Sus scrofa: one gene and its partners. The protein of the gene in region 1 interacts with the protein of each later gene in a pairwise test. Links are inferred from orthologs where the notes say so. Each region holds a gene or a part of one and is shown in the gene's direction. Other genes may lie near its edges.

The links.
Region 2: the proteins of FSD2 (region 1) and ESD interact in binary tests that used the Homo sapiens proteins (3 or more experiments, as listed by UniProt). The two-hybrid records come from large-scale screens. The link is inferred for Sus scrofa from reciprocal best matches to the Homo sapiens genes FSD2 and ESD.
Region 3: the proteins of FSD2 (region 1) and SPATC1L interact in binary tests that used the Homo sapiens proteins (3 or more experiments, as listed by UniProt). The two-hybrid records come from large-scale screens. The link is inferred for Sus scrofa from reciprocal best matches to the Homo sapiens genes FSD2 and SPATC1L.

The regions. Positions count from the first base shown.
Region 1 is NC_010449.5:52,191,587-52,195,244, forward strand, and holds the end of FSD2 (fibronectin type III and SPRY domain-containing protein 2), read left to right. Parts: intron 1-1,610; coding exon 1,611-1,863; 3' UTR 1,864-2,553; downstream 2,554-3,658.
Region 2 is NC_010453.5:20,661,874-20,666,445, forward strand, and holds part of ESD (S-formylglutathione hydrolase), read left to right. Parts: coding exon 1-25; intron 26-1,721; coding exon 1,722-1,841; intron 1,842-2,517; coding exon 2,518-2,616; intron 2,617-4,572.
Region 3 is NW_018085356.1:561,771-566,342, forward strand, and holds part of SPATC1L (speriolin-like protein), read left to right. Parts: intron 1-3,516; coding exon 3,517-3,870; intron 3,871-4,572.

The DNA.
Region 1 (3,658 bases):
CAATGTTCTGTGCCATGAGCCTCCATCATGATTACGTGTTCTCATGCCCCAGCAAAGGCGAGAAGACCAACTTTCTCCCTGTGAGATATTCAGCCCATGAGGGACTCTGCTAAACCTCAGACTCAGTTTGGGGAATGCAAGAAATACTACACACTGAGCCACAGACCGCTTTAGGAGATTCTGCCTGAAGTTAGACTAAAAATCAAAGTCTCCTCTCCTAGAAAGGTTAAGAACAGGGGCAGACAAAATCTGGAGGAGCAAAAAGAAAGAGCAGGGGTCTGTGTGGAGTGGGAGGGCTCGGTTACAAGACAGAAAAGGGGTGGGAACACCACATATAGAGTGAAAAAAGAAGGGCAAAAATCTGAGCCCTAGAGCTGTTAATAGTCCCACCTTGGAAAGATGTCTCTATGAGCGTGTCTTAATAGGGAGGAATTTTGGGGTCATAGTCTTAGACTCTACTGGTGGGAGGAAAAGTAGAGGGAAGGACTCATTCAGCTTCTTTTTTTTTTTTTTTTTGTCTTTTTGCCATTTCTAGGGCCGCTCCCGCGGCATATGGAGGTTCCCAGGCTAGGGGTCGAATCGGAACTGTAGCCTCCGGCCTACGCCAGAACCACAGCAACATGGGATCCGAGCTGCGTCTGCAACCTACACCACAGCTCACGGCAACACCGGATCCTTAACCCACTGAGCAAGGGCAGGGACCGAACTCACAACCTCATGGTTCCTAGTCGGATTCGTTAACCACTGCGCCACGACGGGAACTCCTCATTCAGCTTCTGGTGGCTGCTCAGTTAAGAAAAAATAAGGTGAAATGGGATGGAAACAGGCTGGCTGGCTCTGATACATTTGCATCATATTCTAAGTGTCCATCCCAGTCACATGGACCAGCGTGCCGGCACACAGAGCTCTGCAAATGTCTGTAGGTAGCAGAGTTAGGAAATTCCTACGGTTGGCTTTGATTTCAGCCATTTTCAAAGCACACAGGAGAAGCAACCACCCTTCATGGTGGGAACCTCCCCAGCATGAGGGGAGTGGTGATGAGCCCCGAGGTGCCCGGTTCAGTTTGAAAGTTTTAAGAAAAGGATGCCTTAGAGTATGTGTGCACAGGCTCAGTGCACGAAAGATCCTAAGATTCTCTGTTTCACATGTCTTTGTTACAAGGGATTTACATATTTGAACCTTGAAATTCAAATTTTTTAATGTATTATTTCTATGGAGATTCGGATGCAGTATGAGTTTATTATATTGAATGTAAGTTTCTTAGGTTAAGCAGTTGCTCAAAAACAGGTTTAAGGAGTTTGCTTGTGGTGCAGCGGATTAAGGATCTGGTGTTATCACTGCAGTGGCACAGGTTGTTGCTATGACACGGGTTCAATCCCTGGCCCAGGACCTTCCATGTGCTGCGAGCATGTTCAAAAAAAAAAAAAAAAGTTTTAAAAAATAAGTTTCTTAGGGCATGTTTTAGAAAAGAGATACATAGTTTTAGAAATGGGCTGTTACTTTGATAGTCATTTAATAAAAGAAAATTATAGTTATATTTGAAAAATGAAATGTTCTATAAATAGCCCATTCACAGAATTTCTGAAGCTTTATCAACATTTAATCTTCAGGCATAAATACGAATTTCTACACAACAAGACGACTCCAGACATAAGAATAACGGTTTCCCCAAAGAAGATTGGCATCCTATTAGACTATGAAAATTCAAAACTGTCATTTTTCAACGTGGGCCTTTCTCAGCATCTGTACACATTCAGTTGTCAGCTTCACCAATTCGTGCATCCCTGTTTTTCTCTGGAAAAGCCTGGATGTCTAAAGATACACAATGGCATTTCAATGCCAAAGCATGTCACTTTCTATTAGACCACATTCTGATGCCGAGCATCCTCTCTTCGGTACCTACTCCTCTCCCAGCCACTCACGCCTCAGCTGGCTGAATTGGGCATCCAAGCCCCGTGCACTAGCATCATTTATGGCTCATGTCATTATCTGGCGGACTGGTGTGCTGACATTCACCGCACCTGACCTGGGTCTTGTGCGCTGCCACTTGTGTGATGCTAGATTAGTCAGTTCCAGGCCCTAATGTAAAATGAAGGCTCAGACTTTCAGGTGGTCAAACTGTATTGGTCTATTTGTGTACATGCAAAGTACCTGAGTCTCCAAGGCCTGTGGAGCTTGGGAGAGGAGGAAAGAGAGACGGAAGAGTTAGTGGTTTTAGTCCACTGGTGACATTTCATTAGTCAGCCAAGAACAGACCTGAGACCGCAAGAGGCCACCCACAAAGAGAACCAGGGAAGCCACGTGGCCTTGCCTTCTCCTGTTTTGCTAGTGTTAGTGGCACTCCAGTGAGGTTTCTCCCACTGAACACTGAACACTCTTTCTAACAACTGTTCTTCCCCTTCATAGTACTCACCCCTCTAATTTTGAAATGATCTTTGTAATGCCTAATTCCATGAAGGCAGGACAGTGTCTGTCTTGTTCGTCACTCAACCACCAATGGCTAACACGTGCACACCAAATATTTGTTGAATAAAAGAGCATCTTCTTCAAAAAGCACAGTTCTTCGGCCTCTCATTGCTCTCCATGTGAGGAATGGCAGGGCTTACTCAAACTATAGCAAAAGACTTACCACCAAGAGATGGAAAAACCTGGAGAGGAGGGAGTATAAAGGAAGAGACGGGCACCTGTGGCTTGATGGCAAGATTGGGAAAAAAACTGCAACACTACGCACTACATGCTTCCTAGTGTCACACAGCAGCTCATACATAAATAATAATAAATGAGTGCTGCTTTCATTATGTGTGTGTTGGGGCAGGGGGTGGAGGGATAGGTCTGGAAAAAAATAGAAAACATTAGTTTCGACTGATTCTAGGTACTGTTTTATAATGTACAGAGAACCAGATTTGCAATCAGAAGACTTGAGTTTGCTACTTTGCAGCTACTTTGCCTTATGACCCTAGAAAAATCACATTATCTCCCTTGGCTTCTGGTTCCCTTTAAACAATAGAAAAATACTTGTCTTAACAGGATGGGAAATTTAATGACAAACACGAGACTGCGTGACATATAGCAAATGCATAACAATCTTTTAAGAGAAAACATCAGCCCACCAAGTGCAGAGCTGAGTCCTGGCGGGAGAGGTGGTCTCCAGCCCATGGCTTTTGGGCATCCTGCCTCACTCCTCTTGTGCCAATTTGTGACCTCACTGCCCAGCCCAACAGCTACCTTTCTGGTACTGGGTTCAAGTTTCCGGTTGCCACTTACAGTTCTGCACACACAGCATTTTCAAGCTTATGGGTCAAGATGCAGAGGAAGTGACTCCAATTATGAAGCAATTCTCAGATAATTTAGTGTCATGCCCCACGGATGTGTCTCTAAACATATGTGCCCCTGATCTCATCACTTGAGATTCTGTGTTATCAGAGAAACTTCACTCGAAACCTTTCAGTTTCCTAGTACATTCGAGTCTGACACAACAAACACCTTATCTCCTACCCAAAACAGCCTGCTGGTATACACAGAAGTTCAGAGTCTTGAATTCACAACTCAACCTGACAGTCTTGAAGCTCATTGCACACACATACACCCCTCTGCCCTCCCAACATGGATCACTACCCTGAAATAAGGAAGGTACAACCAATGTAACACAGAGATGGTT
Region 2 (4,572 bases), on another chromosome or scaffold:
AATGTACTCTTATGTAACGGAGGAGGTAATTTCATTTGTATTGTAACTATTGCTAAAAGTTTGATTTTAGACACAAGGTCCTTCTAGTCCCAAGAATTTTAAATTAATATATGGTATTATTGAATCTATTTGGTATATGTTTATTATCTTAGTAAAAATTCCAAAGTTTAAAGAGTTGAATTATTATTTTGATGCCTGTATACACTACCCATATTATACAGAGAAAATAGTACATGAAAAAGCTTTGTATTTCTTTTTATTTTTTCTATTATAGCTGATTTACAATGTTCTGTCATTTTCTGCTGTACAGCAAAGTGACCCAGTCGTACATATAGTCTTTTTCTCACATTATCTTCCATCATGTTCCATAAAACTTTGCATTTCTTTGACAGCAGGTTCATTCAGATGTATTTCAAAGTGATTAACCGTAATCAGGATAAATGATAATGCTTCTATTAATAATAGTTGTGTGCAGTTTATGCATTTTCTAAATTTTATATGACTTTAACTGTTAATGTGCACCTCATAAAAACTCAGAAACAATAATATAAAATTTGAATCACCCGTAATTCTGTCACTTCAAACAAGAATTACATTTTGGTATATTTCAAGCTTTTTGTTATGACTAGTTTTCATGTAATTATAAAACATTTTTTTATCTCGTTCTTTTTAGTTGTGTAAAATAAATGTTTGTTAATATTCTCTATTTGTAACATAATTTTAATAATTGGGTAGTATTCTGTCATACGACATGAATACTTTTTCCTAACAGAGGCTATATTTATGTATGTATTATTTACCATAAAATGTGTTACTGCATTTGATTATCTTTGAATATAATTTTTCCCCATAAAGACTTTTCCCTTAGAATAGACTCCAGGAAGTGAAATTACTAGATCAAAATTTAGAACACTTTAAAGTTTCTTTCCACATTATCTTCTTTTTTGTTTGTTTGTTTTTTTTTTTGTTGTTGTTGTTGTTGTTGTTGCTATTTCTTGGGCCGCTCAAGCAGCATATGGAGGTTCCCAGACTAGGGGTTGAATCGGAGCTGTAGCCACCAGCCTACGCCAGAGCCACAGCAACGCGGGATCCGAGCCGCGTCTGCAACCTACACCACAGCTCACGGCAACGCCGGATCGTTAACCCACCGAGCAAGGGCAGGGACCGAACCCGCGACCTCATGGTTCCTAGTCGGATTCGTTAACCACTGCGCCACGACGGGAACTCCTCCCACATTATCTTCTTAAAGTTGCTTTCCAAGTTGGATGTGCCCTATAGTCTCCAGTAGTAATATTAATAATCATTGGCTGACTTTTTTTTTTTTTGTCTTTTTAGGGCCACACCCACAGCATATGGAGGTTCCCAGCATATGGAGGTTCCCCCAGGCTAGGGGTTGAATCAGAGCTGGAGCTGCCAGCCTACACCACAGCCACAGCAATGCCAAATCCGAGCCTTGTCTGAGACCTTCACCACAGCTCATGGCAGCACCAGATCCTCAACCCACTGACCGAGGCCAGGGATCGAACCTGTGTCCCCACAGATACTAGTCCAGTTCGTCACTGCTGAGCCATGACGGGAACTCCCTATCTGACATTTTTTAAAATCTTTGCAAGTGTAAACAACTCTAAGACTGTGATTTTCGAAGTATTGATTATTGTATGTAACTTTGAAAAAGTCTGAACTTATTTCTCTCCTATCTTTTGTCCAACTATTCTCTCTAGCTTCCCCAACTCATAAATGCCAATTTTCCAGTAGACCCCCAAAGGATGTCTATTTTCGGCCACTCCATGGGAGGCCATGGAGCTCTGATTTGTACTTTGAAGAATCCTGGAAAATACAAAGTAAGATGACCTAAACTTCTAATGACAGATGTTTCTCTTGCATAATATACTATTAGGAACTTTCAAAGATTGAAATTAAGATACTGTTGTTTTCGTTTTGAGATTAACTTTTCTGGTGTTGGGAATTTCAAGGGGTTGTGGGGGAAGAGTATTAAATCTGACCACACAGTATATGCTGCAAAATCAGAAGTATGGAACTTGTATCCCAGACGTTTCTCGTTGGTTTGCTAGTGGTATTAGAAAGCAGTTGTCATTGCTTCTATTCAAACTATAGTTTTCTAGATTTTTTTTCCTAGAAGTTATCCTTGATTAACATTATTTTGGCAGTATGTTATCATTTACTTATATTTTTATCAAGAATATTTTTGTAAAGTTAACTTTTTCAGTGGAAAAATGAGTAGAAACTCATAAACTTCCTTTTGTGCCTTTATAATGAAAATGTCATGCATTGCTTTACATTATTTTAGCACTTAGATTTTATTAGCCCTCTTAATAGAACACACAAAGGATGTGGTATCTGGAGAGGCGTTCAATCTAAGCCTGTAATACAGCAAAAGGAAAACTGTTCATAGGGATTTTCTCAGCAAGTCCGAGTTTTTAAGCGAGTTGCAGATATCTGTTCATATTTGATTTAGCAAAATATAACTTGTTTTTAAATTTATTTTTGTCTCTAAAGTCTGTGTCAGCATTTGCTCCAATTTGCAACCCAGTGCTCTGTCCTTGGGGCAAAAAAGCCTTTAGTGGATATTTGGGAACAGATGAAAGTAAATGGAAGGTAGGTACTGGATGACTGTCTTTTTTTTTTTTTTTTTTTTTTTGTTGTTGTTGATATTATTGCTATTTCTTGGGCCGCTCCAGCGGCATATGGAGGTTCCCAGGCTAGGGGTTGAATCGGAGCTGCAGCCACCGGCCTACGCCAGAGCCACAGCAACGTGGGATCCGAGCCGAGTCTGCAACCTACACCACAGCTCACGGCAACGCCAGATCGTTAACCCACTGAGCAAGGGCAGGGACCAAACCCGCAACCTCATGGTTCCTAGTCGGATTCGTTAACCACTGCGCCACGACGGGAACTCCTGGATGACTGTCTTAATACTCGTTCTTTTTTTTTTTTTGTAATGATTTTTATTTTTTCCATTATAGTTGGTTTACATTGTCCTGTCAATTTTCTACTGTACAGCAAAGTGACCCAGGCACACATACATATGTACATTGTTTTTCTCACATTATCCTCCATCACGTTCCATCATAAGTGACTAGATATAATTCCCAGTGCTATACAGCAGGATCTCATTGCTTATCCAAAGGCAATAGTTTGCATCTGTTAACCCCAAATTCCCGGTCTATCCCACTCCCTCCCCCTCGGCAACCACAAGCCTGTTCTCCAAGTCCATGAGTTTCTTTTCTGTAGAAAGGTTTATTTGTGCTGCATATTAGACTCCAGATATAAGTGGTATCATATGGTATTTATCTTTCTCTTTCTGACTTACTTAGTATGAGAGTCTCTAGTTCCATCCATGTTGCTGCAAATGGCATTATTTTGTTCTTTAATACTCATTCTTAAGTTTCCATAGTTGTTTCTTTTTAGGGCATACCCATGGCATATGGAGGTCCCAGGCAAGGGGTCAAATCGGAGCTACAGCTGCCAACCTACACCACAGCCACAGCAACTTGGGATCCAAGTTGAGTCTGCAACCTACACCACACCTCACAGCAATGCTGGATCCTTAACCCACTGAGTGAGGCCAGGGATGGAACCCTAATTCTCATTGATCCTAGTCAGGTTCGTTAACCACTGAGCCATGATGGGAACTCCTCATTCTTAAGTTTTCAAATTTGTTCAGTAGCTACACACTACAGACATCATATTCCTAACTTACTCAAGGATCCAGAGTGAGAAATAATTAGCAAAAGTGCATACATATAACAAAAACAATTAAGAATGGTTTTTTAATTGTATTGAATCGTGGCAGATATTCTGAGGCTACATTTTTTTTCTACTAATGATTAATTTATGTTTATTTTCCTAAATTAACATCCCCAAAATATCCCATATTTAAACTTACCTCTTATTAACATGTGCTTAATTGTATTATAAGAACCATAAGGCTTGGCTTTTCATTTTGTTTTATCTGTTTCAAAATCCAGCATCTCTCAGATTTGGATTTTAAATTCTAGACTTAAAAGCTTTTAAAAATAGATAATGTGTATATAATGTACATTTATGAGTATATTTCCAACAGCAAGATTACTATTTCAAGCACAGGAGCAGATGCTTCCAAATGAAAATTTTTTAATGGCTCTTTTTCCTGAGACTGATTTTACTCTTGTGCAGAAATGGGCTATTTGCAAACTCCACCAAGAGTTTGAATATTTTGCAAATGAATTCATCATCTTGTGCATATTAATAAGTAGAAAATACTTGAGTGGGGGTCTTATTTCTGTGGATTCAAAGTCATTTACCCATGGACCCCTATTTTATTTAAGATCGGTCCCTGAAATTCTGACACATTTGCAAGGTTAATCTTTTGGTCACTAGATTATTGTTTGGCTTAGGCTTAAATTTTTATTAGATGGGAAGAATGCTAGAAATTATTGCTGTTAATTACTTTGAGAACAGTGCATTGAGAATGTATGTGCATCGGTGTTTCGAGCCCTCACCACGTGCAGAGTCTGTGTAGCGTTTTAAGATCTTGTGTCATGAAGGTGATGACCCTTTACTGTCCACAGG
Region 3 (4,572 bases), on another chromosome or scaffold:
CGACCCCCTGGCGCCCCAGAGCCTTCCCTGTTCTCTTGTCCCTCTCGTCTGGGTGGACATCAGACGACTGGAAAGAGTTTCGAGTGGTCTCCGTGCCGCTGGGCCTGAACGTGGGGTAGAATTGTCACTGCGTCGTTACGTTTTAAATGCGTGGTATCCCCGAGCCTTTGAATTGGACCGCCGCTCAATGAACTGTCACCTTATGTTTGAAGTTGCCGCTCTGCCTTCTTACCCTGAGGTAAATGGCCCAGCAAGAGCCCTCTAGGAGCTCCCCTGTGGTGCAGTGGTGAAGGATGCAGCGTTGTCCCTGCATCAGGGGCTCAGGTCGCTGCTCTGGTGCAGGTTTGGTCACAGGCCATGGGCTTGGCCAAAAAAAGAGAAGCAAACTTCGGATTTAGGGTTATTTCCTTAGAGTATGTTTTCCTAAAAGCAGGATCACTGGCTCAGACGGGAGGCTAATTTTTTCACGTTTCTTTTTCTTACATTTACCCAGAGCATGACTTGTCTACTGCATTTGTATTAAGTCGTATTAAGCTATTTTGGCGTGGTTTCTTCACATCTCCTCAGCTGTTTCTCACAAATAAATCTTTCGCATTGTGTGCTTGTCCCTGGAGCACCCTCGGTGACTTGTGAGTAGAGATGGGGTTTCTTTGCCACTGTGTTTTCAGTTATCGGTGTTGCAATACTTTGGAAAGCTGTTGATTTGTAATTATTTATCCTATAGCCAGCTGTTTTCTTCTGCCAAGTTTTCCAGTTCGTTCTCTGTTCTAGGTCTGTAGTTGCTCTGTTTACAAACGATCATTTTAAAGGAGATTGGCAGCTCATATACTTGTTGCTTCTGTCTTTGTCTTTATTCCTCAGGCGTTCCCTGGTGGCTCAGTGAGTTAAGGATATGGCATTGTCACTGCAGTGGCTCGGGTGGATCCTGTGGCACGGGTTTGATCCTGGCCTGGGCACTTCCTGTAGGCGGTGAACAGGGCCGGCCCTGTCTGTCCAGGATGGGGGCATATGCAGGCCGGATGCTGGGGAAGTCTCTTTTCAGTCCTTAGTTTTAAAGAACCAAACAATTGAAAAACGGCCCATTTGTTCAATATTTATGACCTCATTTCGGCACTGGTGGAAGTGCCCTCCACTGCTCCCCACAGCTCATCCGTGGGGTCTTACTAGGGTGCAAGATGCCACAGGTCTGGGGCTTGAGCGGTGTCTGTTGTGGCGTCTGGATGGGGCTTTGCTCAGGATCCCTGGACTGTCTTCCTACACGAATCTGGGCTCCAGTTTCCTCTCTGTGGGGTGTATTTAAAGGGACTTCATATCAGAGTTGTGACAAATTTATAAGCTTAATACTCAGGCGTCCTAATTTTTGCAGTGTTCCAGCCTCATTAGCTGACGTAGGAATTATGAATTGTTTGGGAACTTGAAAGATCTTACCTGCTCACAACCCACGTCTACAGTCCTTTGGAGCAGAATTATTCTATGACTTCTGGGTTTTTCTTGTTTGTTCATTGGTCCATTTAGTTTTTCTACTTCTTATTGAGTCATTTAAAAATAATTTCCAATCTCTCCTTTTATTAACGTTTTCAATTAATATTCAATTGTAGGAGTTCCTGTCGTGGCGCAGTGGAAATGAATCTAACTACGAACCATGAGGTTGCGGGTTCCATCCCTGGCCGCACTCAGTGGGTTAAGGATCTGGCGTTGCTGTGACTGTGGTGTAGGCCACAGACACGGCTCGGATCTGATGTTGCTGTGGCTGTAGGCTGGCAGCTGTGGCTCTGATTGGACCCCTAGCCTGGGAACCTCCATATGCCGCAGGTGTGGCCCTAAAAAGCAAAAAACAAAACAAGTATATATATTCAACTGTATATAATATTTCTATAATTTAAATATTATCTTCCTAGTCATTCTGATAACACTTTTCTCATTTCCGATTGTATTCCTTTATGTTTTCTATGTCTCTGAGGTAGCTTTCCACAGTTTTCCTATTTTATTGGACTTGCCGTAGAGCTGTTTCAAGTTTATCTCTGCTGTTATTTTTATGATTTTCGAACTTTTGCTTTCTTTAAGAGTTCATTCTCGGAGTTCCCGCTGTGGCTCAGTGGTAACCAACCCAACTAGTGTCCATGAGGATGCGGGTCTGATCCCCCGGCCTCGCTCAGTGGGTTAAGGAGCAGGCATGGCCACGAGTTGTGGCGTAGGCCACAGACCTGGCTCAGATCTGGATTTGCTGTGTAGGCTGGCAGCTTCAGCTCGACCCCTGGCTCAGGGAACTTCCATATGCCGCGGTCTCAGCCATAAAAAGGAAAAAAAAAGGAAAAAGAAAAGAAAGGACTTCATAAATCACAAAAGAATTGATAAGTTAAAGTTTTTATTTTAATAATTTATTAAATTATATTACAATTTAATTAAATTACATTAATTTTTTTTTTGTCTTTTCTAGGGCCACTCAAATGGCATATGGAGGTTCCCAGGCTAGGGGTCGAGTTGGAGCTGTAGCCACCGGCCTACGCCAGAGCCACAGCAACGCGGGATCCGAGCCGCGTCTGCGACCTACACCACAGCTCACGGCAACGCCGGATCGTTAACCCACTGAGCAAGGCCAGGGATCGAACCCGCAACCTCATGGTTCCTAGTGGGATACGTTAACCACTGCGCCACGACCGGAACTCCGAATTATATTAAAATTTTTTAAAATTCTGCCTGACAAGAGTTGCCATAAAAAGGTTAAAATATAAGCAAGGAACCCACTGGGAGAGGACAACACGTTTTAACGAGAAATTAACATGTAGGCTACCAAAGCAACTGATGCCTGTCCCTTCCAAAGACTAGTCAACCGAGAAAATAAGCAAAGGACAGCGCCGCACAGAAAGCAGACCCCAGAGGCCAGCGTGGGAAAGGTGTTCAGCTTCACGGGGTTTAGGGGAAAGCCGTGCGTGTCCTCAGCTGGTCTGCCCACACCAAGCGTTGCTGAACGGCTGGTGGTCGTGGAGAAAGCCGAGACAGTTCAACAGCCCGCGCCCGAGTCCGGGTGTAGACGCGGAGGGTACTTGCGCGGCGCAAGAAGGCGTCGGAGGGCTGCGGCTCACGGCTTGGCGTTTGCAGGGCAACCTGGAGGCAGCCCCACGCGCAGCCGTGGGTGGTGGGTAGAAAGGTCTGTGTGTGTGTGTGTGTGCGCGCGCGCGCGCGCACACACGTGTGCCAGGCAGCGGTTGCGTGAACCAGCGAGCGACCAAAGGACTCACTCGCCGTGGAGAAATCTCGAAACGCGATCACGCTGCAGCGAAAAGGTCTGTTTCCGAGTCAGGCGGAGGTCGGATGAGCCGCAGCAGAGCTTGGGCGGCGCGCGAAGGCCGCCGCGGGCTGCGGGGCGTGTGCGGGCGCCGGCGGGGGGCGGCTGCCTGGGGCCGCGCCGCCCGCGGCCGCCTCGCCCGCCTCCGTCGTCGCGGCGCGAGCAGGAGGCCCCCCAGCTCCCGGGTGTTGGAGGCGCGTCAGCCTGACCCCCTTTCCTCCCTGTCGCAGGGCCGGACTTCGGACGGTTCCCCGGCGTCCCGGAGGCGCCCTCGCAGCTGCAGGCCTCCTCCCTGGAGGACCTGCTGTGCTCGCACGGCCCGCTCTCCGGCGAGGACGACGCCTCCCCGGGCTGCGCCGCCGCCGCCGCCCAGGCGCCCTTCAAGGCCTTCCTCAGCGCCCCCGAGCTGCGCGCGCCCCGCGCCTCCGACGGGAAGCCGTCCCCGCTGCTGAGCCCCCTGCACGACCCGCTGGCGGACAAGACCCTGCTGGAGCCCAGGGAGGTGGGCCGGCCCAAGAAGGTGTGCTTCTCGGAGTGCAGCCTGCCCTCGGGGGACAGGACCCGGAGGAGCTACTACCTGAACGGTAGGGGGCGCCTGCTGCGGGCGCTGGGAGGGTGGTCCCGCCGCGCCGCCTCCGCCCTCCGCCCTCCGCCCCGCGGGAGGAGCCGGGGCCTGCGGGGCCGGGGGGCGGCGTCTGCCCAAGTCTTGGGACCATTTAAAAACAAATAAGTTCCGGGCGTTCCCATCGTGGCGCAGTGGTTAAGGAATCCCGCTAGGAACCATGAGGGTGCGGGTTCTATCCCTGGCCTTGCGCCGTGGGTTAAGGATCCAGCGTTGCTGTGGCTGTGGCGTAGGCCGGTGGCTGCAGCTCCGATTCGACCCCTAGCCTGGGAACCTCCATATGCCGCGAGAGCGGCCCTAGAAAAGGAAAGAAAAAAAAAAGAGTTCTTTGTATATTCTGGATAGAAGCCCTTTGGGGGTATGTTTTGCAAACATGGTCTCCCGGTCTGGCTTTTCCATTTTCACAACGTGTCTTTTGAAGAGCAAAGCTATTTAATTTGACGACGTCCCATTTATTAATTTTTTTCTTTTCTGTAAGTTCAGGCTTTTTTGTATCCTCCTTAAGAAATCTTGACAAACTGAAGTCACAAAGGTTCTCTCCTACGTTTGTTTGGAAGTCGAGTAGTTTTTGGTTTTACATTTGGTTTCTGATCAAATTCAAGTTAATTTTCGTGCATGGTATGAGGTTGGCCTTAGGTAGGCATTTGTTCCAGCCCCAGTGTTT